Caenorhabditis elegans: one gene and its partners. The protein of the gene in region 1 interacts with the protein of each later gene in a biochemical or structural test. Each region holds a gene or a part of one and is shown in the gene's direction. Other genes may lie near its edges. The genes, in order: mcm-3, stn-2 and lin-7.

What was found.
Region 2: the proteins of mcm-3 (region 1) and stn-2 form a complex in vitro, tested with the Caenorhabditis elegans proteins (one study listed by BioGRID).
Region 3: the proteins of mcm-3 (region 1) and lin-7 form a complex in vitro, tested with the Caenorhabditis elegans proteins (one study listed by BioGRID).

Annotation. Positions count from the first base shown.
Region 1 is NC_003283.11:15,053,076-15,063,291, reverse strand, and holds mcm-3 (DNA replication licensing factor MCM3), read left to right. Parts: upstream 1-3,692; 5' UTR 3,693-3,697; coding exon 3,698-3,906; intron 3,907-3,951; coding exon 3,952-4,044; intron 4,045-4,095; coding exon 4,096-5,460; intron 5,461-5,513; coding exon 5,514-6,166; intron 6,167-6,213; coding exon 6,214-6,332; 3' UTR 6,333-6,573; downstream 6,574-10,216. Other genes in the region: rap-2 (small monomeric GTPase), read left to right, coding at 170-262, 317-400, 464-554, 1,252-1,394; nssp-71 (neuronal small secreted protein), read right to left, coding at 1,868-2,002, 2,053-2,117, 2,163-2,276, 2,857-2,908; C25D7.16 (40S ribosomal protein S20), read right to left, coding at 6,574-6,780, 6,826-6,975; C25D7.5 (Metallo-beta-lactamase domain-containing protein), read right to left, coding at 7,118-7,414, 8,097-8,263, 8,309-8,471, 8,535-8,638, 8,681-8,888, 9,378-9,527.
Region 2 is NC_003284.9:7,671,049-7,682,180, reverse strand, and holds stn-2 (PDZ domain-containing protein), read left to right. Parts: upstream 1-1,561; 5' UTR 1,562-1,656; coding exon 1,657-1,692; intron 1,693-1,836; coding exon 1,837-1,909; intron 1,910-2,345; coding exon 2,346-2,479; intron 2,480-2,524; coding exon 2,525-2,588; intron 2,589-2,640; coding exon 2,641-2,706; intron 2,707-3,227; coding exon 3,228-3,324; intron 3,325-3,753; coding exon 3,754-3,817; intron 3,818-3,871; coding exon 3,872-4,020; intron 4,021-4,106; coding exon 4,107-4,275; intron 4,276-4,698; coding exon 4,699-4,824; intron 4,825-4,877; coding exon 4,878-4,943; intron 4,944-4,988; coding exon 4,989-5,153; intron 5,154-5,198; coding exon 5,199-5,291; intron 5,292-5,339; coding exon 5,340-5,459; intron 5,460-5,503; coding exon 5,504-5,629; 3' UTR 5,630-5,670; downstream 5,671-11,132. Other genes in the region: mfsd-8.5 (Major facilitator superfamily (MFS) profile domain-containing protein), read right to left, coding at 6,052-6,144, 6,191-6,313, 6,360-6,461, 6,506-6,573, 6,622-6,731, 6,783-6,923, 6,971-7,062, 8,273-8,589 and 3 more.
Region 3 is NC_003280.10:14,342,837-14,353,010, reverse strand, and holds lin-7 (Protein lin-7 homolog), read left to right. Parts: upstream 1-4,218; coding exon 4,219-4,419; intron 4,420-4,937; coding exon 4,938-5,095; intron 5,096-5,154; coding exon 5,155-5,230; intron 5,231-5,654; coding exon 5,655-5,849; 3' UTR 5,850-7,167; downstream 7,168-10,174. Other genes in the region: agl-1 (Glycogen debranching enzyme), read left to right, coding at 310-898, 1,271-2,134; elof-1 (Transcription elongation factor 1 homolog), read right to left, coding at 2,531-2,669, 2,719-2,834; Y54G11A.17 (L51_S25_CI-B8 domain-containing protein), read left to right, coding at 3,605-3,769, 3,816-4,025; Y54G11A.9 (Core domain-containing protein), read left to right, coding at 7,286-7,399, 7,713-7,865, 8,168-8,305; ddl-3 (TPR_REGION domain-containing protein), read left to right, coding at 8,567-8,730, 9,177-9,309, 9,358-9,716, 9,762-9,939.

The DNA of each region.
Region 1 (10,216 bases):
TTAGACTGAATATTCGTAAAATCTGGTAAATTCGAGCCAAATAATCTGGAAATTAATAGAAACCGAGTAATAAGTTCAAAAAAACAATTAATTTGGGTAATTTTAAGCAAAATAAATTTAAAAAACTACGGAAAACAGAAAAATTAGAATGAAAACAATCAATTTCCAGGTGGACGGTCAACCATCAGTACTGGAAATTCTGGACACTGCAGGAACGGAACAATTTTCTTCGATGCGGGATCTTTATATCAAAAATGGACAGGTAAATCTTGAATTTTAATTAATTATCTAAAAATTATTTTTAATTTATTTTCAGGGCTTCGTTGTTGTCTACTCGATCACCAGTCAACAGACGTTTCATGATATTCGAAATATGAAAGAGCAAATTGTCAGGGTTAAGGTTGGCTTTTAACTTTAAAAATGTATTGAAAAATTGTGAATTCACTAAAATCAATTTCTTCAGGGATCCGAAAATGTGCCGATTTTGTTAGTTGGAAACAAATGCGATCTTTCACATCAGAGACAAGTACGATCAGAGGAAGGATTGGCGTTGGGTGAGACTTTTTTAATTTGAAAAATCAAATTTAAATTTTAAAAAAATATACGAAAAACTGATATTTTGAAAAGAAAAATAGCCGCAGAACCTCTTACACAGCTTTGTGTCGATTTACGCAGCTCGTGTACTCCTCGAGGAAAAGGCTTTTACAGTTTTTGGCGAAAATTCTTGAATTTACGCTATTTACGGCAATTTGTCAATCTATTTTTCATTCATTGTGTTTCAGGTGAAAATAAACATATTTTTCTGCAATTTTTAATTGCAAACACAACGATTTTCGCCTGAACCACTGCCAAAAAGAGTTAGATTCAATGTATTTGGATCGGAGAACTGCAAAAAAAAACAAAAATTTTGCTAGTTTTTCAACAAGGAATACAATTATTTTCACTCTAAACAATGTGAAGCTCTCCTCCTCGGGGAGTACAGCTTCGTAAATCATTGCATGGCCATGGTCAAAAAATATTTTGTTAATCGGAAAACGAAAGCTTTCGATTTCCAGAAAATTCAAAACACAAAGTTTTTAACATTTTATCAAATTTTGTTTGGGAAAAAAGTTTATTTTAATAATACAATTTACTTCTAAAAAGAAAGAAATTTTAAAGTCATTTTCTGGAAAAATCGATTTTTTTTCAAAATAGAAAGTGATACAATTTTCAAATAAAACATTATTCAAATAATTAATTTTGAAATTTCAGCCGAAAGTTGGTCATGTCCATTCACTGAATGTTCCGCAAAAAACAATCAAAATGTGAATGTCACATTTGCGGAAATCGTACGAGAAATGAATTATGTGCAGAATAAATCAAGACAAAGCAAATCATGTTGCTCTCTGATGTGACCCGAAGCTTCATCCCCCATCCCAAACATCCCATCCCATCCATTCTCCCTGTTTTATGATCTTTTACCCCTCCATATACCCCATTCAATCGATTCGTTGGGATTCACAAAATTGCTCATTTTATATCCATATTTGCACATGTAAATCGTCCACGGTCGTGTCACTTTCTATTTAAACCTGCGAGAAATTCGATGGCGAAAATTCGAATTTCAATCAATTTGTAGATTTTTTACGGGCTCACATTTTCTCTTTTTTTCCCCCATTTTTTTGTCAATTTTTGATTGATTTGCATGACTTTCCTTCTTTTTTTTCCACCCAACCCCTTTCCATACAATTTTCGTGTGCTATGAACATGATGAACTTGCTCCAATTTTTTCCCGATTTATTTCACTAAAAAAAAACAACCTACTGATGTTTTACAACGAATTCAAAAGCCAAAAATGGCACAAAAACTTAAATTAAATTTTTTGGAATTAGAAAATTAAAAAGTAGGAAATTGCAGGAACGACGATGGAGATGAGAATCGAGAAGCTCGTTGGACTGGAATTACAGTAATCTCCATTGCAAGTGTAGCATTGTCCGGTTCCACCTTGGGCTTGGCATTGCGTCTGGAAATTAATTTTTGCACGAAAAAATATATAAATTTATTTTTACTTACCATAAGCTGAGTACAGGCGACCAGGGCATTTCCAGGATCATTACATCCTTTAGTGGTCTGACGGACTGAAAATTCAGATTTTACAGATAATTTCCAGGCTTAAAACTCACATTTCTTCGGATTGTTCACTTTACAGTCGAACTTCATGCAGGTGTAGATGTTTCCCGGGCAGACTTGAGTGAACGCATTGAGAATACTATTTTGGACGAAGCATGTTGTGGATTCTGAAAAAAAGTCAATGTTCCAAAGCTCCAAGGTCTCGCCACGAAAGAAATATTTGCAAATCGTGAAAGGTACGCGCCTTTAAGCGGTACAGTAACGACTTTTTTTTTCAGATTTTTCGGTTTATTTTCAACTTAGTTTTCAAATAAACATTTTTGAACCCTGGAAAAACTGTACCTCTTAAAGGCGCACACCAAGCCCCTTAGATCAGATCTCGACACTACCCATTATTAAATTTGCAAAAGTGTTTGCGCCTTTGAAGAGTACGGTAGTTTCTAACTTTTCTCAGAACAGTTTTCTCCTGTTTTCTAAAAATTGTTTCATTCTCAAGTAATTTCACTTGTGTAATTATCATTTTTTGATACTTAAAAAACGGAAGAAAAAACTATAGCAACTAAATAAAGAAAACCCGGAAACAATCTGAATACTACAGTACTCCTTAAAGGTGCACACTCGTTTGAAGAATAGTAAGCTAATAGATTTTGTCTTAAAAAAGTCGTTTCGAGACCCGGTACAGTACTCTTGGAGGCAACACGTTCAAAATTTCGCCAGTCCTGTTATAAATCTAGATTCAATTCTCACCTGTCTCTGAAATCCAGAGTACCAGAATCGAGATTGCGAGTAGAAGTTTCATGGTTTCGTATTCGTATCGTATTGCGAATATAAAACGAAAAAGCACAGAAAAAATAGCTTTGTGAATGAATGAATGAGTGAAGGCCCGAGCGGCGGCGGGAGGGTCCGATAGATGTTGTTTCAAACGGTTTCCAATGGTTTCCAGCACGCGGTGCGCTCAAGTTTCTAGGAGACAAAGTCAAAGCACTTAAAGCTTTACGGCATAAATTTTGTGTATATGTGTGCTTTTGTGACCACTTTCTTCCCATTTCTATGTATAAATGTATTACGAAAGGTGCGTCCTGGGGGAGGCAGGGAGAAAATAAGAAAGATGGGATGAATAGAATGGAAAAGCATCTGTGTCTGTGAGTTTGTGAGTACTGAAACAATAGATTCCATTTTTGTGATTTGTTATGAAAAATTGAGGAGATTTTTGGAAGAGATCTTTTGCATAGATCACGGGCACAAATGTTATTGATGTTTTTTGAAACTTGAAATGACAATTTTGAACTGATAATTTCAGACAATTTTCATTTTATTCCAGGCATTTTTATTTAAATAAAATTATTTCGCTATTAATAGCTATTTAAAATAAACATGTTCAAACATCACTTTCAGGTGCATTGAGTGCAGCGTTGCGTCATGGTGTTTACGGAGCGAGCGCGCGAAACCTTGCTGTTTGAATGAGAAATGCGCGAATTTGGGCCGAATTTTTCTATTTTCCCCGCTCTTCTCCGTGCTTTCTAGTTTCTATTCGTTTATTTTTTAATTTTAAGTTTCTTTTGTTAAAAACATCTTATTTTCAGAAAAAATGGACGGACAAGCTGATGGAATGTTCATTGATCGTGCCGAGGATGCTCGAAAACAAGAAATCACGGAGCAGTATCTCAACTTTTTGGACAATCAAGCCGACACTTTTCACTATCGTCAGAAAATTGTGAAAATGATGAATGATGGAGAAAGTCGTTTGGTGATGAATCTCGATGAAATCAGGGAAATTCTACCAGAAAGAGCTGAAGGGTAATTAATAAAAAATAAAGAATTCCCGAGTATTAAAGTTTTCAGGCTATTGACCCAAAGCGTTCTTGAGATGAATTGCTTACAATCTGCACTTCAAATGGCTATTAATCGTAGTGATGTTCAAGCTGTTGTCAAAACGTGAGTAGCTTTTAAAAGCCGTTTTTGTTTTTAAACAATTTGTATTTTCAGTGGATTCCACGTCGGCTTTGAAGGAACTTTCGGAGAGCGCCACGTCAATCCACGTACTCTCAAATCATCATATCTTGGAAACCTTGTCTGCTGTGAGGGAATCGTCACAAAGTGTTCAACTGTTCGTCAAAAACTTCTCACTTCTGTCCACTATTGTCCAGCAACAAATAAAGTGCTCGAGAAGAAATTTGCCGATTTCACTATGCTCGACACTGCAGTCACCAATAACAACTATCCAACAGAAGATGAAAATAAGAATCCTCTTGAAACAGAATTCGGACATTCAGTTTACAAGGATCATCAAACGTTCACAATTCAAGAGCTTCCAGAATCCGCACCAGCCGGTCAACTTCCTCGGGCCGTCGATTGTGTTGCTGATCTTGATTTGGCAGATCGCGTCAAGCCTGGAGATCGTGTCCGCATCATTGGAGTCTTCCGTGTTCTGCCGAATAAGCAGAATGGAGTTTCGTCTGGATCCTTCCGTTCGATCATCATCATTAATCATATTCAAATGCTTTCAAAGGAGGTTATTCCAAACTTTGAGCCACAAGATGTTAAAGATGTTCGTAAAATTTCAAAGTCAAGAAACCCATTTGAGCTGCTCGCTCGGTCACTTGCTCCATCAATTTGCGGCCACGAAGAGACAAAGAAAGCGTTGCTCTGTTTGTTGCTAGGTGGAATGGAAAAGATTCTGAACAATGGTTCTCGTTTGAGGGGAGATATCAATGTTCTTCTCATCGGAGATCCATCTGTTGCCAAGTCTCAACTGCTTCGATATGTTCTTCGTATGGCCCCAAGAGCTATCACCACAACTGGACGTGGATCTTCGGGTGTTGGACTTACTGCTGCTGTTACTACTGATCCTGATTCGGGAGAACGTCGTCTTGAAGCTGGAGCAATGGTTCTCGCCGATCGTGGTGTCGTTTGTATTGATGAATTTGACAAGATGTCTGATATTGATAGAACTGCAATCCACGAAGTTATGGAACAGGGACGTGTCACAATTTCGAAGGCTGGAATCCACGCGAAGCTGAATGCTCGTTGCTCGGTTCTGGCTGCAGCAAATCCGGTGTACGGACGATACAATCCATTCAAATCTCCAATGGAAAACATCGGAATGCAAGATTCACTCCTCTCGCGTTTCGATTTGATCTTTGTACTTCTTGATGAGCATGATGCGGACAAGGACGCTAATGTCGCTGAACATGTGCTCAAGCTTCACACTTACAGAACCCAAGGTGAAGCCGATGGAACTGTTCTTCCGATGGGTGGAGGTGTTGAGACGATCAGTACAATCAATATGGAGACTAAGAAGGCGAGCAGCTCGATCTATGAGGAAAATACCCAATGGGCTGGTATTCAAGAGTGAGTTTCTTTTATAAAAAAACAATATAAATTAATTAATTTCTCTATTTCAGCACGAAAATCCTGACAATGGACTTCATGAGAAAGTACATCCATTTGGCAAGATCAGTTCAACCAAAACTCACCGATGAAGCTACTGAGTACATTTCTGAAGTATATGCCGATATTCGTTCATTTGATATCACCAAAACTGATCAAGAACGAACAATGCCTGTCACCGCTCGTCAACTCGAAACATTGATTCGTTTGTCAACTGCTATCGCGAAGGCAAGATTCTCGAAAAAAGTCGAACGAGAGGATACTGAGAAAGCTTACAATCTGCTCCACTTTGCCTGTTTCAAGGAGAAGCCAAAGGCTCGTCAAGAGTATGAGAAGAAGAAGCGAGCTCCACGAATTGATGGTGACGATGATGAGGATCAGAGCGATAACGAGGACATGGCAACATCGGAAGAGCCTCAATCTAGCTCCGTTCCGACTGCAGCCACCCCGCGTCGTGGAGTCAGAAGGCGTGCTGAAGATGATGATAGCCAGGATTCTATGATGGATACTACCATTGGAGAAAGTCAGCCAACTGCTAAGAAAGCACGTACTGGACCGGCTGCCATCGGAGTTGATCGTTATAAGGAGCTTCGGAAGTACGTCAGAAAGGCGTTCGACGACATTGGAAGCACCGACGATATGGTTGAACTTCAAATTATCACAGACAGTAAGCAAATGTTTCATTAAAAATGTTTATTACAAAAATGTTTTCAGGTGTTCAAACTCAAGCCGGATCACACAAGTTCACTGAGGATGAGCTGAAGGCTGGATACGAACAATTGGAAAACGATAACGCTGCAATGATTGCCGAAGATAAGATCACTCTCATCTAATTTCCTGCTGGAAGCTGGAACATAAGCCCCGTTTTCTTTTCGATCTCTCAATCAAATCATTATTTTATCCTTTTTTTCACCTGATTATCATTCCTATTTCATTTTAACTAGGGTCTCCTAATCCACTCACATTGATTTTACATTGCCTATTGTACTATGTTGTCTCTCTCTTTTCTCTTTATTCCTCCCCCTATTATATCTCTTTATCAATCGCGTAACCGGATAAAAGAAGTACTCTTGGTCATTGATTCTTTGTGGAGACTGTCTGAACGCCGGTCGACATGCGAGCCTTCTTTCCACGTTTCGCTGCCTTCTCCTGTCGATACTGAATTCCGGTACATCCGAGTCGATGGTCACCAACCAACGGAATGGTGTTCGCTTGAACCGCTTTGCAACGATTTGTGTCAGGGAATTCCATTGGCTTCAATTCGATTCTCACATGAATTTCCTGGAAAACAATTATTTGGAAAGGAATGAGAAAGTGGAAACATACCTCATTTTTCTTGAACAAAACTACATTCGTCTCTCGGATATTTCGAGTTTTTATTCCTTTCAGCGCCTCCAAAATTTTTTGCTCAATTGTTGGAATTTCATTCCAATTAACACGAATTTCAATCGATTGTTGAACGGAAGAAGACGTCATTTTTTAGATTCGAAGATATAGGAAATACATTTTTTTGGAACGATTTATTAGCTTTTTTTATTTTGAAATGTTTTTCAGCGTGAACAAAAAAATATAGAAACCCGCTTAATAAATATGAGAAATTAATTATTTTCGAATTAATTTAACAGTTTGCATTTGTCCTGTGCAGTTGTGTGACACGGAACGGAGAAGAGCTCGCCGGGACAATCCAATCAACTTCACAAATCACCTGATTTCGTGATTCGATCAATTTATCGATATCATACACGGAATTCCGATCGAAAACGTTTAAATCGTTTCCATTTGGGAAGAGGGCGCCGGCGATTGCAATTGTTCCCATTAAATCCACGTTTCGAATTATTACGGTTATTGAGTTTGGAGTGGGTCCGGGTGTCGACTGAATTAGAGAATTCGGAGAGCATAATTCCAGAATTGAATGCTGAAAATGTTATTGTTAAATCGTAAAACATTTAATTCGGAAAGCAATGGGTCTCGCCACGATTTTCGAAATTTTGCTATTTGCAAAAAAGGCCTTTAAGAAGTACAGCAACCAGTTTCTCCATTTTCTTGTTAACTTTTTTGTTGAAAACCTATAGAAACGAAAAATACATGTTTTTATATACTTGAATACAGTTGTGACGTAATTTTTCTACACTTTTTAATTTTCCGACATTACTTGAATAACCCCATTACAGTAGTCCTTTGAATACGCACACCTCTTTTCGTGAATTCTGTTTGAAAATACATCATTCGTGGCCAGATTTAAATATACTATTTTGAGAATTTTCCCGCAAAAATAAAAAAAAAAGCTTGCAGATTCATTGGCCGGAAAATTATAACTACAAAAAAACCAAATCCTATTCCATTTTTGCAATCATAACACGATGCCCGGTCTCGCCACGACAAATTTTTGTTCCATGTGAAGAGGTGTGCGCCTTTAAATATTACAGTAATTTTACATGTTTTCTGTTCGAAGCTGCATTGCCCTTTAAAGGCGCACACCTTTATGCATCTAACAAAAATTTGTCGTGGCGAGACCAGGTACCGTATTTTTAAAGCAAATTTTCACAACTGGCCGAGAAAATGAAGAAAAAAAACTCGGTCATCAATCAAATTCCCACCTTTTCAAATCGTTTCATAAAAACGATATTATCCTTGTACATTGTGGCGTCGGCCATTATGAACTGTGAAAATGGGAATAAATTCAAATTTCCTGAGAACTGAGGCTGTGATGACGTCACCACTACAAATTTTATTTTCTTTGCTGGAGCACCATATGATGCCAAATCTGAAAACATTATTAAATGAGCCGAATGGAAATAGTGAAACAAACTTTTTGAGATTTGTTTTTTCTGAGACGGCAGCCCGGTATCTACCACAAAAACGCATGCACCATCCCGAACGAGAACAGAATTTGTATGAAGTTTCAGAGAGTTTGAGTAGTTTCCACGGCTTAACGACGGGATTGTGAGCATTTGAAGAACAACGTTGGATTTCTGGAAAAAAAAAACCGAAATGTATCAGATTTTACGCGCAAAAAAATTCTTAGAAACCCATACTTTCACCGGTTGCCGTTTTCTCGTAGTTGTAACCGTCGTGGTCGTGGTCTTCGGAGTCGTTAGAATTACTTGATTTTTGAAAGCAGCATCACTTTCTAGTTGTTCTAAATTTCCAGATTTAAGACAATTCTTCTACCACAGCTAACCTTTCGAACTCCTGATATAGACACTATAGTCGTAATGTGATTGCCTTGGATAAAAGTTCCAGTTCTCTGGATATGATTGCTTATTCTGATTACCAACCAACCTAACCAGCAGTTCAGGTGTTCCACAACACACATAATCTTGACTTCCATCCGGTTGGCAGAAGCTCATTTGACCTCCAGTTTGGAGAATGCAGGGGTCCGGGTGTCCCTGGAAAAGTTTAAAATTGCGCGTACGGTGGAGCTGTTGGGGGTACGGTAGCTAGCGTGATTCGGAGATTATTCTCGGATATACACTGTACTGGTACGGTTGGGTACGGTAGCAGCGTAAAAGAAAATATTCTAGAACTGATCCATGGCTGTGTGGCAACCAGAAATCGCCAAACGCTAACATGTCCGGTAACCAGCAACAATCGGTCACCGAAATTTTAGAGTTTCAATTAAATTAACGTTTTGAACAACTTTTTTTGGAGTATTATTTTGAAAAAAATGTATACATTTAGGTGAAATGTTTTTTTTTCCATATGATAAAATGTTTGCATATTTCAAATTTTCTGAATGTGTTTTTTAGGAGGACAAAAATAAATGGTATATACCATTTATTTTTGTCCTCCTAAAAAACATCGGCAGCTGATAATCTTCGAGTATTGATTTCCAGAAATTGTGACAATTTTTTACAGAAATCCGAAAAAAAAATTACCGGCAAAGTAGGCACACATCTCATCAGCTGAAGGGTATCCTTATGCCTCAATTGAGTTAATCCTTTGTCGCAGCATTCGACAAAAAACGATGAGATTGAAAGTAATATGTAGAAGGTTATGTAGAAGTTATATAGAAGATTTCGTCGCATCTGAAACAATTACGTATTGATTTTTGAAAATGTTCTAAGAAATTAATGATGCTTAGATGAATGTGTACAAAATTAAAAAATATTTGATTACTTCGAAAACTGCTTTTAACTTTTTTGAAAACTCAAAAATAGCTCCAAAACGGCTAAAAAATGTAATTCGCTGAAAGATTTCCGCTGACAAGTGTCAAGAAATTTTATGGTAATTTCCAAAATTCATAAAAATAATTAAAACATTTTCAAGTTAAGCAAAGATTTTTCTACATTCCTATATTATTTTTTTAATTGAAACACTCTAGAGTCATGCCGAAATATGCAGTTTTGTACATTTCCCTAATAGGATTTCCGCCCACCTCATATCTCGGTTTTGAAGATATCAAAAATGTTTAATTGAAAATTATAGGAAAATAGATGAAAATTCTTTTGTCTGTGGACAATATTTCGATAAACCCAAAAACAACCGAGATATGAGGTGGCAAAGTTGAACAACAATTATTCTTTTTTTTTCAAAATTTCAGAGAATCGGGTAAAAAAGCAAAATCTCAGTTAAAAAATGCCAAGAGTAAGGAAACAGCAGGAAGTGATAATGTGGGAGAAATAACAAAAAAAAAGTGTGATAAAATGATAATTGAAGTGTCCTCCAGGACGGTTGCGCGGCGGGAGCCCACCGCGCGCGATCCTCACCGGAAGTG
Region 2 (11,132 bases), on another chromosome or scaffold:
ACCGTAGACACCACGGGGACTGTACTGCGTACTATGCGCTGGAAATGACGCGCAATGGAGTGCAATAGAGACCAGCATATAACTATTTCAATGAAAATGGGAGATTACTTATTTAATAATCGGTATTTAGGTTTTATAATCTCACATTTTAAAAAATAAACTAATTTTTCCATCAAATTTTCCATATTAATAATACGTGATACACGTGTTCCTCTTCAAGTTTAAGTGGTTTTCCAAGAATAAAAATGCAAAAGGATTTCGAACATTTCCATTTCTGATAAATTAAAAAGGTGTTATGATTCACAACAAGGTTTAATAAATAACAAAATACGTGCGTACTTTGAAAACAGTTATATATATCTAATTTTTAAAATTAAAGTTCATGTATTTTGTCGTTTAATTTTTGACACTATATGAGCGGGTTTAAACAGTTTTCCTACTGAAGGTACTCCGTTTTTAATTTATATAACAAGAAGAGCTACAAAACACTTTGTGGTTTGTTTCAAGCAGAGAAAATGTGATCACACATATGTACTCAAAGAAAAAATCACAATTTTAGTCTCTCTTGATGACTCAGTTGACTAAAGGCAAAAAAGTCAGCCTCGTTTGCACAACAACGATTGTGAAATATATTCCGTTGCCTTTCTTTTTTGCCAGTTGCGGAACATTTTCATATGTGTTTGCGCCGCCGAAAATCGTCCATCATTCGAAATATGGAAAGCGAAACGATGTGTCTTTGTATCTTCAAAACGGCATTTCTCAATTGAAGCTCAATGGCTCATTGACATTCGAAGTGAAGACACAGTGTAGGGTCACGGCGCTAAAATGCGTGTTTTCCCATTGTTTTAATGGGGAAAAAGGACAATAAGAGTAGAAAACGGCAATTCGTCAAAATGATTGATTATATTCATCAATTAGTTTGCAGGAAACAACATGCAGAAATGTGGAAAAGATTTCAGTGAAAGTTTCAATTAGTTTGGAAAATCACTAACTGTTGAATATGAATAAACAAATGGAGAAAAAACAGGGATGTTAAAATTTTTATCAAAAGTCACTCCTCAAAAAGGTATTCCGTTGCGGGGAATCGAACCCCGGCCTTATGGGTGAGAGCCATAAATCCTAACCACTAGACCACAACGGAGATGGGTGAGCAATGGTCGCTGCTTAATGATAAGAGTACAGAAAACTTTGTGACTGTGAACAATGTGTAGAAAATTTTATCAGTCAGAAAGCAGCACGCGAAGAAATTGAGAAAAATGATGGTTGCCTTTCCGGCAATCTCTTTGGCAACAGTTCCAGAATTTCAGCTCTTATTTTATATCTTTTAATCAGTTTTCAGACTATGATCAAAACTTTGTTGGATGTTAAAAATATTGGATGACTCGTTTCTGATATTAAAAATTCAAACCAGCTGTTTATCATCTTGTTTCTCACTTCCTTCAACTGCTCGTTTTTGCTGTTCGTCTATGATTCCGCATCTTTTGCTGTTGTAATGTGTGTATTACACCGCTTCCGATGAGCAGATAGGATAGATTGGAGCTCGGGCGCTTCAAAGTTGACTCGTGTGAGGTGGCACACACACACGCATCTTTAGTCCCTCTAGTTCATTGTCCTTCATTTTTGCTACATTTTATATTCTCTGTTAAACAAGGCTAAATGTCCGTTACGAAATCACACCATAATCTGGATGTGGTAAGTTTAGCAAATATTATGAAATTGTTGGTTTTTAATGGGCATGTTTAATTTTTGTATAGTACATGCCAGCAATCTGAAGTCTTATGAAATACAAGACTTGACAATATGTTAAATGAAACAAATTCCAACAAAAAATTTCAGGTTCATCATGGAATAGTACTCATTAGTGATGGGAATGCCACTTCTAGATCGTCACGACTGCTTTTATCCAAAGGTAAGAGGAAATTAAAATGGAACTTGAAATAGAAATAAAATGGAACCATCAATTTTTGAATGTATGCATTTTTTCCACACTTCTCACATGGGGCCTATAAAAGCCGCACAATTTGCGAAAGCGAGAAGGGCCTGAAAAACGAGGAGAAATGGGGGAGAAAAACGAAAATAAAAGAAAAGTGTGCAATGACGGCCTCAACTAGTCGTGTGAAAACTTTATTAGGCAGCTCATGGCGCGGAAATTGGTGCCTAGCCTACAATTGAGTTGTTGAGAAAAGAGGAAAAAGCTGTCAGGGTCCCGCATCTTCGTTTTTGTCTTGCGCTTCCTTTGCGCTTTTAAAACTCCAAAAAAAATTTGGTAGAAATGACATGAAAATGGCATGAAAACTATATAAAAAGTCATCCAAAAAAAGAAATATCGTAACATATTCTTGCAGATGAGTTATGTATTCAAGTCATTGACGATGGTACCGCGGAGCCCGAAGAAGCCAAAGAAACATTTCTAGAAAATGCAACTCGGCAAGTTGTCATAGTTAAAAAACCAGACTCGGGGTTCGGATTGTCTATTAAAGTGAGCAATTGAACAGGACCGGTGTAATACTTAGAACTATTGCAGGGAGGATCAGAAAATGCACAAAACATGCCAATAGTAATCTCCAAAATATTCAAAGGATTGCCAGGTAAATCGTCAGATTTAAAATTTTAACATCTAGAAAAATACTTAAATTACAGCCGACGAATGTGGAGAGCTATTTATTGGAGATGCTATCGTAGAAGTAAATGGAATATCCATAGAAGGTGAGGGAAGAAAAAGAACGAGTAGTCTTCATTAGTCCAATCATTTGGTTCCCCTCTGGGAAATAGGAACTGAAAACGAATGAGCGTTCATAGCAAAGACCAAAAAGTTAAACTAGTTTTTTTTTAAATAATAGAAATAAAATGGAACCATCAATTTTTGAATGTATGCATTTTTTCCACACTTCTCACATGGGGCCTATAAAAGCCGCAACAAAATAACTTTTGGCAATTCACGTTCAAAAATTTAACATAAAAATTTAAAAAAAAAAAACAAAGTTGTATTGAATAATAAAACAAGTCATATGCTGTACTTTCCCTATTATACTTGCTCCTTCTCTGTTGGATGGGTTATATATGCCGTCCTAAGTTTCATAACAAATCAATTTTTTTTCAGTTGCCAATTAAAAAAAAACCAAAAAGAACTAACTAAGATATAAGCTGTCAAAATCAAGCAAGGGCATGATGGTACAAGTCTAATAGGGAAAAAAAACGGTAGACTATTTTTTCATATCAACTTCCAGGTCAAAGCCACGACGAAGTGGTTAACATGTTAAAATCAAGCGGTGACCAAGTAACTTTGGGTGTCCGCCATTTCACCCATATGACGCCGTTTCTAAAGTGAGTTTGGTTTTGTGGCGAAAAAAATTTGCTACTCAAGTCAGTCCCATGCATCGCCTTTCTTCCTATTTCCCGCTTCCTTTTTCGATTTTCGACGTGGCGTTACTTTGGCGAGAGGACACACAAAAAAAGTATGGTTGAAAAGAGTGGAAGAAAGAAGCATGAAAAAGAAGGAAAAGGACGAAGAAACATGAGTAGAAACAACTGATGGATTAGAGTGTAGAAGAGCTCTGCGCAGGGGGTGGTTTGAGGCAAAGCACGCGGAGCCTTACGCCATCCTCCCTGATGAATGCTTTTCACTGCATTTGAAATTCAAAAATGTGCGCAGTAGGCAAACTGCCGAGGGACACACAATGTTTTGCGCAGAGTATATAGTTGCATTTGATTTTATATCGGGGTACCAGAGACGTTGGAGTGACTACTTTTCAGACCAGCACAGTCATTGCAACCCGATGGAACATTGGATCAGCTGTTTGATGGAAGAAGTACAAGGGTAAGAAAAAATCCTAAGCTTCCATTTTGAAATTATTTGGAGTTTTTGCTTCAGAGCCACAAAGCGCAATCCGAATCCCGACTCTCCGACTCGAAATGGCAACAACATATTGACGGACGGGAAAAGAAATGGAAAACGTTGACGTCTCTTCCGTTGGCAATGGCTTATGTCACCAGATACCTCTGGGGAACCGACAATATCAGGTTTGCTTCAGATTTTATTTTCGTAATGAATACATACAACGGGGAGCTTTTTGTATTTCTTGTTCAACAAAACTAAAATTTTACAGGACAAACTCTTTCGAAGTTCGTGCAGTAGATGGAAGATCGTCGGGAATTGTGCATTGCGAAGATACATCGGCGCTGGAACAATGGATCTCGCACATCAGCAAACATATATTGTCGCTCAACCAAAAGAGTATAAAAATGAGCAACAAGTACTTGCATCAGAGTGAGCAGGTCAGTATGCAATGATATGACTTCAATGTTTGGTAGGCACGTTTGGTTGCCTTGAAACATCTGTTAAAAATACGACATCGGAATTAAAAATTAAATGTTTTCAGCACACATCAGATTAATGATCCAACATTACTGACTATGAAGCCGTTTTAGGTGTCCAGAGAATTATGGGTCGAATGATGTATTTTCTAAAAGCTAATACAATGGAAATTACGAATTCAGAATAAAACTTTGCTTAATCTAATTTTGAGGCAATTATTTTTGCTTTTGTCTGCTCGATTTAGGATACTTGATGGAAACATTGTTGTTTTTAAAGCCGACTATCTTGTTGAAAATTGAATATTCAAGAAAATAGTCAACTAGTAAATCTACTAACATTATGCACGGTTTTTGCAGTAAATAGTTTAAATTAATGTTTTTTAGATCAGCTACATTGGTTGGGTGAATGAATACTTGAATGATGATGATCAAGAAGAGCTTAAAATCCGCTGGCAACCTCGCTTCTTGATTTTAAAAGGCAGTGATGTCTGCTTCTTTGATGTTCCGCCGGTATGTTTTTTTTTTAATTTTTGAACTTATTTTACATGATTCTTTTTTTCCAGCTAAACTCTGAAGATCTCAACAAATGTGTCTACTTGTACAAATGTTATGATGTTGCTGTAAAACAGGTAGATTATCAAAAAAAGTAGTAATTCTAGAAGGGATATCTACAGGTCCCAAACTCTAGTCCACGAAGAGATAAGCGTGACAATTGTTTCTTAATAGAAACTCCATTGCAAGTTCCAAATCACTACCTGTCATTTGAAGCTGTATCTGCATTTGAACTTTTTGAGCAAGCATATTACCGAACCGTATACAATACCATTTCCCAAATGCAGGCAAGTTTATTTAAATTATTCAACAACAATAACAGTTAACTTTAGTCCCGAACGTTTGCCTGTAACTTTGAAGGAAGAGCCAGTGGAATCGTTTTTGACATTAAACAGGGAATTAGTCTATATGATATTCCTACTAAGGTAATACTATTTCTAACTGTTATTGATATTGATACAATTTATTTCTAGAGTTACATTTGGCAATATCGGTTCAGAGATTTACAAGCCGTTGCTGATGATGGCAAACTGTGTGTCCAGTTATCGTTCAATGATGATCGTTCATTGAATTCCGATAGAATAGAAGTAAAGGTTAGTGGTTTTGCAACTTTCCGAGTCAAGTACTCAAATTGCAGGACATCGAATGCGAAGATGTGGTAACAGTTGTATTCAACCTTCATTCCTTTGTTCTTGCCAGAATTGTTTCCACTGATCCAGACTATTTGAAGGCTAATCGTTATGTTGGAAATGCAGAGGACTAATGATTTTTGATTTTCAAAGCATAAATATTTTTTTGTTGTTGTTCAACTGTTGTTTAAAACAAAATTTGAATCATGAGTTAAAGCTAGGTTTTCAACATTTTTTTATTTCAAACTAAAAATAAAAACAATCTGCATGCCGTAGTCTACCTGTAACTTATGGACCAGTTTTGAGTCATATGCAAAAAATCAAAATTTCATTGAAAACATATGACTTTTTTCAGGTTTCTGGCACAATCAAATTGTCAATTTCAAAAATCCTTTATTTCAATAATCATAAATTCTAATTCTCAAAGAATTATATCGATAACAAGATAAAGACACGCGATGAGTCAAAATCAACCGGTTTCTGTTTGCCGTAATATTGCACTTACAACAGTACTCGAAAACTCAAACAAAGGTGAAATAACAAAGTAAAGAGTTGCCTAATTCAAAGGCTCAATCTTCTTCGTCTCATATTTCTCGAATGGAACCATTCTCACACGCAATATAATCCACGCACTAATAAGGACTACCAGCTGAAATCGTTTGGGTTTCTATTGAATTAACTGCAGCAATACTCACGTTCACAATTAGTATCAACCATGGAATTGAAGGGCCATATAATGTGTAAACGTAGCTCATCAAAAGTGGAGCAAGCATTCGCCCAAATGATCCGGCCATTTGGTACACACCTTGATAAGTTCCCTTGAAATATGAACTATTAGAATTCTATTAACTCATAATATGATACCTGTGGTCTCGGGCCTATTACTTTGGAAAACAGTGTAGTAACGGTGATATTCATAAACGAAAATGCAACACCAAACACCATAATGAATCCAATATAATATACCTGAAAAGAAAATCACTCATACATTTCAGAAACTTAGATCTTACGTATTCATTGACTTTAGTGAGATCTGTACACCAAGAATATTTCTCAGTGTCACAATTGGCATTGCTTCCTGAAAAATTTAAATGTTACAACTTTCATAATTACTTTATAAACTCACCATTTGTCATAAGTTGAACATGATCACTGTAGAACTTGTATGGATAAGTTGCAATGAGCCACACTAACGGGATGGACAGCGAAATAAATGTGAATACTCGGTTTTTCATGCTGAAAATTTTAGATATATATTATAGATAAATTTTTTAAAATGCAACTAACTATCTTCGAACTCCGGTAAATATGAAACAAATGAACATGAATGCCGCAATGGAACCAGCAACGGTATGAACTCCAGCATTTATTGAAACTGATTCTTCCTTCTCCAATCCGAACATCATCATTGTGTATGCGGACCCAATACTGTAATTTAAAACAAAAAATTTTTAGCTTTTATAATTTTATTTTACCTCTCGATGGTAGTGTTTAAGAAAATTTGAGAGAAACGAGTAATAATACATAGCAGAATTGCAATGAAGTCAGGGCTGGCTAGTTTTTTAATCTGAAAATGAAAATTAAAACTACCGCGAAGTGCAAGGGTTGCCAGGCCGATTGCGAAATACGATGGGTCTTCCGCTTTCTCTTATTTCACTAAAACCCCCACACACCAATTTCGCCATATCTAGCCTAGCAAGGCCTACACTATATTCTTTGCAATTTTTTTGGATTCTGGAAACAAAATTGTTTCCTGCTTTTTTATTAGTATCCTATTAGAAAACATGCATTGATAGACCTGCCTGTGGTTTTTTTTCTCATTTTTATTCATAGGCCAAATATGAATGCAAAAAACTTTAGGAAATGTTTTATGATTTTTTGTTTCAAATGTGTTTAAAAATGCGAAAGGCGATTTTTTTGAATTCCCGTGCAGACATTGACATCTTTCCGGTTTTATCAATCGTATTTTAAAAAAATTTAATTTGAAACATCCCTTGTCACGTTTTCAGACGTTTATACCGTAGAGAAAGGTTCTCGGCAAAACGGCCTAGCTTCATAGCATACTCTTGCAACTTCTTAACAACAATTAGGCATTTTAGCTGTTAAGCAAACTTCTGCAGCTTTTCAGACAACTTTTACAATTTCTTAGCAGATGTAAAGCTAAATTTCGCTCACAATCCCGTTGGTTTTAGCAACTTCTTAACAGCTTTTTACAAAGTTATATAAATGTTTTTATTAAGTTGCAGGAGTTTGCTATAAAGTTGCGACGTTTTGCCGAGTTGAGATTTAAACTGAATTTTCAATTTTCGAATAAACTAGGCAATTCATTTGCCGGGGAAACTAAAATCAATTTAGCCTTTTCAATTTTTTTGAAAATAAAAAAAACCACTTTTTTCTAATTATCAAGCTTGATAGAGAACAGTTTCAAAAAAACTGTTGCAAAGCGTGGCAATTACTTACTATTAGTTCTCCCCTAAAGCTGAAACCAGAAAAAAAACAAATTTTTTACAATTTTGATGTTCATAGTAAGTTTTGATAATTTGCGCCTAGATACTGTAAAAATTTTTAGGCGCAAATTCGCAAATTTTGAGAAATTTGTGAATTTGCTTAAATTTTTTAAAGGGACCAAATTGTTTAAGAAATCGGCAGATTACCACAACTTTGAAGGAATAATTTCAAAACATTTGAAATTTTACAATACGTTTTTCATGATACTGGTCAATGGCTATAAAATCCTGATGTTACTTCACCTTGACAGTTTTAACTATTCAACTCACTTTTTTCTCTCCATTTTCTTCATCTTGCACTATATTTTTACCATGGTTGATAATATATTTTTCCACAAAAGCAAGCTTCACGATCAGCAACCCAGTTACATTGAGAATAAGGCAAAAAAGAGCAGGAGAGGTATAAATGCTGATGTTCAACCCAAGAATGTTAATTCCGTTTTCTCCAAGTGGAGAGAAAAGTAACTGTAATCCAGGCCCCATCATGGTTCCAAGTGCAATTCCTCCAGAAACACACGCAATAGCACGAGAGCGATCTTTTGAAGTAGAAGCTGTTGAAGCATAAGCTCTAAGTAAACTCATGTTTCCTACAAATTTCGAGTATTTATTCAATTTTTTATTTTTTATTTTGAAAATTCACCTGTGCCTCCTCCAGCAATGAGTCTAGCCAGCATCATAACGTATAAGTGATTGCTGGACAAATATTGCAAACTAAGATATGTGATATTTCCAAAAGCCATAACAATAAAGCCGACTATTAACGGAAATCTCACTTGACCTATTCGATTGCTCCAAAATCCAAAAACAGGACTAAAAATCGCTTGTGAAACGCTGTACATTGCAACTACAATTCCAAAACTTGTTTGCGTTACATTATGTTCCAGCTAAAAAAATTAGTCTAATTAAATACCTTTATGTGACTCACTGTCAAAATATATGGATACATAGATGTGAAAAATATTGCAAACTGTGTGGCTTGTATGAACGCACATGATCCAGCTAGGTAGATGGATTTCCAATCAGTTTTATCACTGGGAGTCTTAAAATTTTAAAGTTTTGTTGAAAGAAAAGGACAATGAAACAAAACTCACGGGTAACATTGCTTCAGTTTGATCAAAATTTGACTGACCAATACTCCCGTCATCTAGAATTTTCTCTCCTGTTTCAATCGTGTCTCCTCCCATTTCTGGAATTTATGTAAATCCGTACTTTTGGTGATTAAGTGCGACTTTTGATGCGAGAAAAAATGTGCACTGCCGTCATGTGAAATATAGAAGATCAGCGTGGGTTATGATCTTGAAGTGACTCAGATTCAGAAAAATCAAAAATAGAAAGGAATAACATCATCATATCAATTCTCTAAATGTTCATGTGTCTATTGGAACCAAACGTTTAATTTTCCAAATGCTTTTGTTCCCCAATGGTTTCATATTCTTTAACATTTTATTTTGTTTACAATTTTCTTTTTTTTTTCAAATAAATTTTGCAAAATTTTGGTATACTGTTTGCTGAGAGGTAACGTTTTCAGTTTGAAAAGTATAGAAAAATGGAATCGAAAACAAGAAGCTGCGGAGAGTGAACAACTATTTTTCTTCTTTGTCGACACAGAAGTTGCGAAATGAGTGTTTAAAATATTTAAGGCTTACAGTTTAATGTTTTAAAATTTTTTAAAATTTTTTAAAATTCCTTTTGCTTTCAAGGGTTGCTTTCAAAATAACAGTAAATTTGTTTTGGCTAATATGTAGGTGTTTTTAAATATATAATTACTTTTTGAATGCTTTGATTGATTGATTTATTTTAACATAACTAATGCAATTTACAACTGTACAATTGAATTTTGAGTGTTAAATAAAACGGTAAAACGAGACTAACCCAGAAAGAGTACGTCTCGAGGATGCTTTATATCTCCACCTCCAAATACCGTATTTCCATACTAGTATTCCACCCCGCAGACTGGTGCGTGCCAATCATTTTGACAAATTTTCAACTTTCAGTATTATCGATTACAATTTATGAAAGGTCATTATTTAAAAAAACATCAGTTCATAAGAATGCCTACTTTATGGTGTGAAAAGAAACGGCAGCAAACGTGCATTTTGCACGGAAAAAAGATATAGGTCCCTTCACTACGAGATATTTGCGCGCCAGAACGGTAGGCAATATGGTTTCTTAATACGTGTGTAGTTTGATATTTGCTTTCCGAACATACAAGCGGTTTTATGGTATATGAGCAGCAGCCCTTTCCGATCGAGGTCCGCGATCGACTTGCGCATGTGCCGGGAAACCGGTTTTTCTTTTATCAGTCGTGGCCCTAACATTCCTGTAGATATCAGAGTTTTTGGAATAATAATTAAGAATTGAATATAAAACGTCTGTATGCCTGTTTGCCTGCAAACTTCTAGTGTCTGCTTTTTTATTTTCAATTTTTGCAATCAAGAAAGACAAACAGTTTTTTAAGTTTGGACTAAAAGTTTCAAAAATTCAACAATAGGATACTTACGCTATTCTACCGAAAACAATCCTGAGTGTTCTATAATAGTTGTTAAAGACACATACGTCCCTCAAAACAGACTAAGCGTTGTTGAAAGACTTTTAGTAAGTGTAACTAAGTTGTAAGAAAATGAATCTGAGAGCGCGTTTATTTTGAGTTAATAAAACTGTTTATTTATTAATTCCTAAGTTTATTTAGCTCCGGCCTGATTTTCCAGAAGAGCTTTAAACCGAATACACTTGAGAACTCATTTTTTGTTTGTTAAACCCCGTGATGTTAATGATGTCACCGTAATGAGCACGAAAACTCATAGAAGTATTTTATTTAGTCTTGCTCGGTCTTGCTTCTTCCCCTTCAAAAAAAATGCGCAAATAAGATTCTTGTTCGTCTCAGCTTCGGCAGGTTAGCTAAACTCAAAGACACACTACTTTTCTGTCCATTGTTGTCCGAAGAGGTATCACTTTCAGGTGAATGTTCCCTAGAAATTCTATACAGAACAAGAAGAAAAGAAGCGGACAAGAAGAAAATGATCGTAATTTGCTGACTCATAACTTACAAATAGCGCGTACGTCAATGATACGCAGCAATCAGCAGCAGCAACCGTGTCTTCTTCATTTTTTCTCTCTAACCAACAATCCT
Region 3 (10,174 bases), on another chromosome or scaffold:
TATTTTCCAAAAAACTGAATTTTACCGTAATTATCACCATTGTAAAGGAAATTTCGTATTTTTAAATGTTTTTTTCAAAAATGTTGATTTGTTTTCCAATCGGAATTAAGTAAAAAATTGAGTCGGCGTATGCAAAAATGACAATTTCTCGAAAAACTATTTAGAAGATGGAATTTTTCGATATACTGATAAAAAACCGAACATTTGCGCTTTTTCGATTTTCTAAAAACAAAAAAACCGAGAATTTGAAAAAAATAAATTTCAGAAAAAACACATTTTTATGAAAATTTAATTTCGTTATTCTTTCAGGCAAATCTCCTCGTCATCCGCGTTAGTCCGACACTTGGCCATCTCAACTCTCTCATTCCTTGGATACATTCCTGGAGCCGGTCTCGCACCGATTCCGACTTCCCTCCAAATTGAAGATCAGTATCCATCAAGTTTGGCCGCCGGGCTATCCCACTTTGCTGTTGGAATCTGGAGAAATTGGGGTCGTGACACATTTATCGCCTTGCCGGGATGCCTTTTATCAACTGGCCGATTCCAGGAAGCCCGTCAAATCATTCTCTCATTTGCCGGCGCTATTCGTCATGGACTCATACCGAATCTTCTAGCCGAGGGAATTGGTGCCAGATATAATTGTAGAGATGCCACGTGGTTCTGGCTGGTTTCGATTGTGAAATACGTGGAATCGGCGCCAAATGGAGTCGGGATTCTTGAGGATCCAGTGCGCAGAATCTACCCGAATGATGATAGTGTCTATGGAGAGGGAGAAGTGCAACAGATGCTTATTGAAACTATTTATGAGGCACTTGACAAGCATTTCGCTGGGATTGACTACAGGGAGAGAAGTGCCGGACCACAAATCGACGAACAAATGAGAGATGAGGGATTCCAGGTACAGTTTTTGTTTTTTCAATTTCGAAAACCAATTGAAATTTTTTTCTGGTAAACAAATTTAAGCAAAATTTTGAAATAATTCTGAACTAGTTTGCTAATTTAAAAAATATTTTTTCCTTTTTTTTATGTACTGGAAATCGACAAAAAATATTCTGAAAAAAACAACCAAAAAAATAGAATTAAAAAAAAAATTTCTTCGATTTTCTGAAAAAAATCTCTTTTTTGATTCTCGGAATACCGAAAAATCGTAACATTTCGTTTTTGATTTTCCAAAAACAAAAACTTTCAAATTCTCGGGGGAAAACGAACAAAATAAAATCAAACATTTTCGTTCTTCAAATAATTTTTTTGACAACGTCCTCTATTCCAGGTGACCGCCGGCGTCTCTCGCACCACAGGCTTCATCTACGGCGGTAATCGCTGGAATTGTGGAACATGGATGGACAAGATGGGAAGTAGTGAAAGAGCCGGAAATAAAGGAGAACCCGCGACGCCGAGAGATGGAGCGGCCGTCGAGCTACAGGGACTTGCCTACAGAGCACTGAAAAGCTTGAAGAATTGGAAGGAGCAAGGTGTGATCCAGAGATCCGGAGTTAGCGACGAGTGGACGTGGGGCTTCTGGGCTCAGAAGATCCGAGAAAACTTTGAGAAGGAGTTCTTTGTTGATAAAGATTCCTATGCGGAGTTTGTAAATCGTCGGGAGATCATCAAGGATTCTGTCGGTTCCACACTAGGATTCACCGACTTCCAGCTTCGTTGCAACTTTGGAATTGCATTAGCAGTTGCTCCAGATCTTATGGATCCTAAGAAAGCATGGAAGGCATTGGATTCAGCTGAAGTTCTTCTTGGACCACTTGGAATGAAGACCCTTGATCCAACAGATTGGGCTTACAACGGCTACTACAACAATGATGATGATGGGACTGACAAGAAGACGGCAAAAGGATGGAATTATCATCAGGGCCCTGAATGGCTCTTCGTCGCCGGGTATTATCTCCAAGCTCGGCTGAGAATCGGTGATATCCTCGGAGGATCCGAAAAGCAGTATGCGATCCGGCAAGTCCAGGAGCGACTCGGCAATGCTTACAAGCACATCATTTCATCACCATGGAGGTCACTACCGGAACTGACAAATGCTGATGGAGAATACTGTATGCAGAGTTGTGCTGCCCAGGCGTGGTCCGTCGGTTGCCTGATTGAAGCATGTGTAAAACTTAATACTATCGAGGGATGATATTTTCCTTTTTTTTAGAATTCAGAATATTGCATGTATTTCCTTGTTGCATTTCTAGCTAACTTACCATTTTTGATTTTTAAGTTCAACTTTTTATATAGCTTTGAGCCAAAGAAATTTGAAACAAAATGATGAAAAATAAAGTATTGTACAAAAAATGGTGATGTGCTGATTTGGTTATTTACACACAAAAACGAGCTCGAGGATACCATTCTCGTGAGAATTGAAGGACCGGTTTTCGAGGCGTGCTGCAATGATGATCCAGAAAGTGTGTGGATGAATTGGGGATAGAAGGAAATAGAATTACTGAGAAAAGCAAAGAGATCAACGCGATGGGGATTTTGGAGGCTTATAAGGAGGTCGTATAAGAATTTAAGATTGACGGATGGGGAATATTCAGGCGTTATTTGCCTGCTCACAGGCATCCACCCAATCAGAATAGACGTCGATTGGCTCGGAGAGGTAGTTGATGTTTGTTTGGAAGTCTTCAGAGCAGACACGACACGAGATATAACCGACATTCTTTTCGCGATCCCTGGAAAATTATTACGTTTTTTTTTGAAACGATTTTCCTTAGAAAGTACATTTTCACTTCACAAACGCGTTCATGATTGCAAAACGGACAGTTGAATTGGGTGTCGAGTGGCATTACAGCCTTTGCCTTGGTTGGAGCCTTTCTCTTCGACTTTCGCTTTCCCATTGCTGCGGATTGTTTGGATTGGTTCTGAAAAACAATTATTAAGTTCGGGAAACGTAAAAAGAACAGAATATTTTTGCAGAAGGTAAAAATATGTTCCAATCTCGAAAAAAAAGTTCGAAAATTACATTTAAATTGCAAGAAAATATACTAATATACAAACCACTCAAAAATGCGACACTCAGAAATACTATATTGTTTTTTTCTGTATTCTAAAAACTATAACGTATGCACAATGTGAAAATTTTTCGTGAGTGTCGGCTTGAAATTCCACATTTTTGGACTTCAAATTCACAAAATTTTTTGAATCATCAGGTTTTATATGGAAAATTTACCTATTTTGACACAAAACATAATATTTCTATCATATAAAAACGGCAAAAATCCGGCAAAAAGTAACACGAAAAACAGCCAAAAAAGAAATTTCGAAACAAAATTGGCGCGAGGAAGACAGTTAGATGCGCAGGTTTTCTCGACTACGGTCTGCAGTACACGTTGCGTACTGCGTACAAAAAATGTTGACCGTAGTCTCCAAAACAATTAAGCATTTATCGGACTTTCCGGAGCAGGATTTATTCATTTTATGCTTAAAATTAAACATTTCTCAATATTTTATCAATAAATTAAATGAGAAAATTGTTTAAATCGTTAAAAAGCATTAAATAATGCTGAAAAACGTTAATTTTCAATAAAATATCTTTCTAGTGATGCAATGCAACTCAAAATTATAATTTAACAATTAAAATTATCTAAATTCAAATTTAAATATTCAGATGGGCCTCAAGGGATTCACCGGTAGTTTTCAACAAATTCGCGGACTTCTACGACCACCAAAGAATCTCCCGTTCCGTGGAATTTTCCGGAAAGACGGAGAAGTTGTGCGAAAAGACGATTTGCTGGTGAATCAATTCAAAATGAATTATCATCCAGGGTTAAATGTAAGATTTATTATCAAATATCTTTGATTATTGAGAAGTTATTCAGGTTTACTATGAAAACGATCGCGGAGAACGTCTTCTGCGTGCCCATTGCGACGGAATCGTTCGTATCTCCCAGGAAAAATGCGATCCGGACTATGAAATTGAGGAGATGAAGGGATACGAGTATAGGAAAGACGTGGATTTGTACAAAATGACGTTCAATGTGATTCCGCTGGAATTGTCTCAGAAGCACACGCTGCGACATGAAATTTAAATTTAATTTTTTGTCGATTTTTTTTTTGGTTTTGTTGTGTTTAATAATTTTCTGACGGGCTATGGTCAATTAGAATAGTAAATAATGTTTTTCCGCTCTGGATAGCTTAATTTTGTAATTTTTAATTGGTTTTCTTGCCATTTTTACCTATTTCCGTCCTATTTTTCCCCTCCTTTCCAACCAAATCTTCCAGATGGATAACCCGGATGGTCCGAATTTGGAGCGGGACGTTCAGCGTATTCTAGAGCTCATGGAGCACGTTCAGAAGACTGGAGAGGTCAATAATGCAAAATTGGCATCGCTGCAGCAGGTGCTACAATCCGAATTTTTCGGTGCCGTCCGAGAGGTCTATGAGACTGTTTATGAATCAATTGATGCGGATACAACGCCAGAGGTTCAGTTTTTTTTGATAAAACTGACAAAAATGCCGGAATTGAAATTTCCGGCAAATCGGCATATTGCCGGAATTCAAATTCCTGGAAAATCGGCTTATTGTCGGAATTGATAATTCCGGCAAATTGGCAAACTGTCCGAATTAATACTTCCGCCATATCTGCAAATTGTGGTTTTGCACATTTTTTTTGGAATTTTCAAAATTTAAATTTTAAAAAATTCAAAAAGGCACAGTTTTAAGTGTTTCCGTATAATGAAAATCCCTACAAAAAATTCCGGAAAATCGGTAGTTCGGCGAAAATCAAAATTTTCGGCAAATCGGCAAATTGCCGGAAATGCAAATTATGGCAAATCGGCAATTTGCCGAATTTGGCAAAAAAAAAGCCGAGCGACAATTGCCGCCAACCTTGATAATTAAAAGTTGTCGAAATTTCAAATTGTAGTTTTTTTATTTTTCGAAATAATTTTGAGCCGTTTTTGAACAACAGAAAACAAAAAAAAACACTAAACATTTTTCAGATAAAAGCCGCCGCAACAGCTAAAGCAACAGTGGCGGCGTTTGCTGCAGCCGAAGGCCACGCGCATCCACGTATCGTTGAGCTCCCAAAAACCGATCAAGGGCTTGGATTCAATGTTATGGGCGGCAAGGAGCAAAATTCACCGATTTACATCTCCAGGTGCAGATATAAAAATATTTAATGATTTTATAATTTAAAAAAAACGATTTGAATTGCAGAATAATCCCTGGTGGCGTAGCCGACAGACACGGAGGTCTCAAACGAGGCGATCAACTTATTGCGGTCAACGGAGTGGTGGGTTAAATGTTTAATTCAATTTTTTTTTAGTTTTTTTCGGAAAAAAAACATCGAAAAATATTGATTTTTCAATGTTTTTCAATGAAAAAAAAATCTAAAAATTCATTTTTTTAAGCAAAAAACGAAACTTACTTTAATTTAAGTGTTTTTTTATCGAAGATTTCAGATTTTTAGTGTTTTTCAGAAAATAAACCGGAAAAAAGTAAAGGAACCAGTAATAAAAGACAGAATTTTTCGGTTTACGAAGATTTCCATATAAAAGAACATTATAAATTTTTCTTAATATTTTTTTTCGAAAAAATGAACAATTTATTCTCATTTTTTAAAATTGAAAACAACTACACTTTTAATTAGTAGAAGAATATAACTCGAATTAGAAAAAAAACTTTGATTCAAAAAAATAACTTTAAAAAAATTTCAGAACGTGGAAGCCGAATGCCACGAAAAAGCAGTTGATCTTCTGAAATCCGCAGTCGGAAGTGTAAAGCTAGTGATCCGTTATATGCCGAAACTCCTGGATGAAATGGAGCGGAGATTCGAAAGACAGAGAATTCGATCCACTCAGCAGAGTCCAACACTCCCGACGCCGTCTTCTTCGACAAATCCACGAAGATAAAAAAGACGGAACATTTGTAGAAATCAAGAATTCGAGAATTTTTGGAAAAAATACGAAAAAAGCCACAACAAAACTAAATGTTACGGGAACACTAAATTTCGAGAATGCGTACTGCGCAACATAATTGACGCGCAAAATATCTCGTAGCGAAAACTACAGTAACTCTTTAAAATATTACTGTAGCGCTTGTTTCGATTTACGGACATCATTTATTAATCGATGAAATATCGAAAGAAAACACAAAAAAAAGACAACAAAAAAACAAACAAAAAAATATATTTTTATTTTTTATACAAATTTGTGTTCGAATTGGTTTTTCGTTTTTTTTTTTGTTGTCTTTTTTATGTTTTCAAATGATGTCCGTAAATCGACACCAGCGCTACAGTAGTACTTTATAAAATTACTGTGGTTTTCTCTTCGAGATATTTTGCGCGTCAATTATGTTGTGCAATACGCATTCATGTGCTCCCGTAATATAGATAATGGACATTAAAACAATATTTCTAAAATTTTTGCATCAAAATGTTTTGAGGCCCCACGAAAAGGGGAGCAAAACGAAAAGGGGATCTGCAAAAAGGGGATCTGCAAAAAGGGGATCTGCGAAAAGGGGAGATACGAAAAGGGGAGCAACGAAAAGGGGAGCTGGCACTGTGCCAAACGCACAAAACGCAATTTTTCTCACGCAACGCACGTTGATTTTTGAAATTTTCTTCTAGAAGATACGCTTAACAACACGCGACGCGTAACATCGGAGCATCGTTGTATCGTTTTCTTCGAGAAAAATAGCGCTTGGCACAGTGCCAGATCCCCTTTTCGTTGCTCCCCTTTTCGTATCTCCCCTTTTCGCAGATCCCCTTTTTGCAGATCCCCTTTTCGTTCTGCTCCCCTTTTCGTGTGGCCTCAATGTTTTACTGCAAGAGTTCGCATTTTTCTGCAAACATTGATTAGTTTAGCCGAGAAAATAGAACTTTTGTAGCAATATTGAAAGATCTTTTCTTGAAACTGAAATTTTCGCTGAAAAGTTTGCATTTTCCACCATAAAATCCCTATTTTTTCTATTTTTTTCCAGTTCATGTATACTCATTTCTAACTTCTTCTCTTCTATTCTTTGTTCTAGATTTTTAGATATCCCTATATGTACATTATTATCTCTTTTTCCGTTTTCAGACAAATTTCCAAAACAATGTTAATCTCAACACTCACCCTCTCCCCAAATTATTGCCCAAAAATTGCTTTAATAATCTTGCTTTGCCTTACGTTCTTTCAAATAGGTGCTTTTCTCCATGTATCTTTAATAACTAAATTTTTAAAATAATTTTTTTTCATTTTTCGGCATTTTTAAAAAAATATTTTCCATGTTTCAAAAATCACGAAAATCTATCTTTTTGATGTAAAATTCAACTTTTTTCAGATTTTTTTTTCAGAATTTTCTCGAAATGCTCACACAAAAAATCGGCAGACTAATGGCTTGTACAGTAACCCGACAGGCTCATCGGATGCTCACCGAGCAAGAGATTAAAGTGACGAATAAGGCAGCGAGCAGGCTTAAAGTTAGTCTGTCCTTGGGCGCCCAATTTTTTTGAAAATTAGAAATATTGTAAATGGAAAAACGAGAAATTTCGATTTTCCAGTTTTTTTTTTCGGAAAAAAATCGGCACTTTCCTATTTTTCAAAGTTTTTCAAAGCATTTAATTTCCGGTGTTTTTTTTACAAAAAAATTGTATACTTTTGATTTGTAGTGCTTTTCAGAGAAACCCCGATTTTCAAAAAAGAAAGTTAAAAAATTTTGTGAATATTGTTCGAAAATTCAATTTTTTTCAATGACTAGAAAAAAACCTTAATTTAAAAAATTAATTCTTCAAGGAAGTCGTTGATAACGGAGAACGCCTACGACTTGAGGTGGATGGAGGTGGATGCTCGGGATTTGAGTATAAAATTCGATTGGACAAAAAAATTAACAACGACGATTTATTATGGAAATCATCAGAGAATGGAGCTGAAATTGTGGTGGATGAGGTGAAAACGTGTAAAAAATGTTAAAATTGATGAGAAAAATCGTAGCGAATATTCAAAAAAAATTTCTCACAAAAGTCAATTTTTTCGGTTTTTTTCTAAACTTTGCCGAAAAATTTTAAAATTAAAAACAACGGTTTAGAAAATTTCGCCCAAAAGGCAATTTTTTCGATTCAAAAAAAATTTTCTGAAAAATGTTAAAATAAGAAAAACAATTAAAAAAGTTTATTAGAAAAATCTATTTTCGTGTAACAAAAATTTAAAGCATTCAATTTTTCTGTGTTTTTAAAAATTGTAATTTTCAGCTCTCCCTTGGCTTTCTCAAAGGCGCCACCGTGGATTTCGTGGAAGATTTAATGAAATCTTCATTTCGAATTGTCAATAATCCGATTGCCGAAAAAGGATGCTCTTGTGGATCAAGTTTTGCGCCGAAAATGGATTAAATTTTCCCTTTGTCCCTGTATTTTTTCTGTAATTATTAATTTTATCTTTAGGAATTTTTTTCTAGTTATTATTTAGTGATTTTGTAGTAGTAGACAATTTTTTGAGATCGTTGTTTGAGTCGGGTTAAATTCGTAAATTATTAATAAGATTTTCAGATATTTTTTTTTGTTTTTTACAATTCCCTCCGGTTTCCCACCGTATTTTCTATTTAATAATGATTCACTTTATTCAAATGTCTCCTAAACCTGAAAAAAATGCAGATGCTGCCATCCATGTCCAAGTTATGTACGTCTACGGTCCGTCCTGTGGCGGCCGCCTTCTCCACCGGGACTACACGTCAGCATCATAGCTCGGGGCGGTCACGACAGCAGCATCATCGTCATGGGGGCAGCGGTGGAAAAACCAACGGTGGCGGGAGATGGTCGTGAGTTTTTTGGAAACAAATTTTTTTCAGATTCTTTTTTAAGCACACAAAATTCCGAGAATGCGTATCGCGCAACATATTCGACGTATTCGACACAAAATATCTCGTAGGGAAAAATACAGCAATTTTTTTAAATGACTACTGCAGCGCTTGTATCGATTTATGGGCTCGATTTTCGAAATTAATTTAAATCGTTTATTTATCGATAGAATATTGAAATTAAGCAAAATATGAGAAAATAATACGAAGAAACGAAGGAAATGGAATATAGCGAAAATTGAGCCCGAAAATCGACACAAGCGCTACAGTATACTATAGTCATTTAAAGAATTACTGTAATTTTCCCAACGAGATATTTTGCTCGGCAAATATGTTGTGTAATACGCATTCTACGCATACGTAAATAAATTAAATTGAGTTAAAAATTCTTAAGATCAATATTTCAGTAGATATGGAAAAAGTGCAGCGACCGGCGGAACTACAGTACTCGCTCTCTCATGGATGACAACTATCAAGGATGTGTTGGGCATTGAGAAGGTGCAGCTGGATGCTGATCCATTGAAAGAGAAGGTTAAACAGGTAATTGTACAGAAACATTTTCCTCGCGAGACCCTCCTCTTTTTCCAGTCTTGGCTTTACCGGAAACGACGCCAGTACGACGATGCAATTCAAGTACTACAACTGGCACTAGAGGAGGCTGAAGAGCGGAAAGAAGATATGCCAATCACACGAGTCTACGATGAAATGGCCAATACTTTTTACGAGAAAATGAATTTGGACGAAGCCGATAAATATTTTCGAATTGTAATTCAGCGCCTCGTTCAGCTTCACGGAAAAAAAGATTTTGACCCGGAGTTTATCGGAGTTTCTCTGAAACTTGCCGACATCTTGGCACATCGAGGTGATCTCGAAAGCGCGGAAAGTGGTTTCAAGCATTGTGTGAGAAGACAAATGAAGGTTATGGAAGAGCATATGAAAAAGTTTAGGTTTGTTGTATAAAGTATTTAAAAAAGTTTAGAAAAATGTTTCAGTGTTGCTCACGGAGCTCTTGTCGAAGACCGACACACTGTCGATACGTTTGGACCAATGTACACCGACCCGATTGCACTTTTTGGAATGACGTTAGAAGCGTACGCGAATTTTTTGATTAATTATTGCGGAGAGACCCGGATGGCAGAAGTTGAAGAATATATTGATGAAGTCATGAAGGTTTGTAGTCGACCCTGAACCTGAGCTGCTGTGCAGCACTGTTAACTGGAAACTTTGAAAATGTTTAAATACCGTACTGTAAAATTTTTTAAAAAATCGAAAAATTTCCATTTTCGATTTTCCGATATTTCGAATATTATTTCAATTTTCAACAATTAGCTTAAAATTTTGGCCATTGTGCTTCTTTTTGGTACCCCTTTTAATGTTTTTCCTCATCAATATAAACAAAATTTGA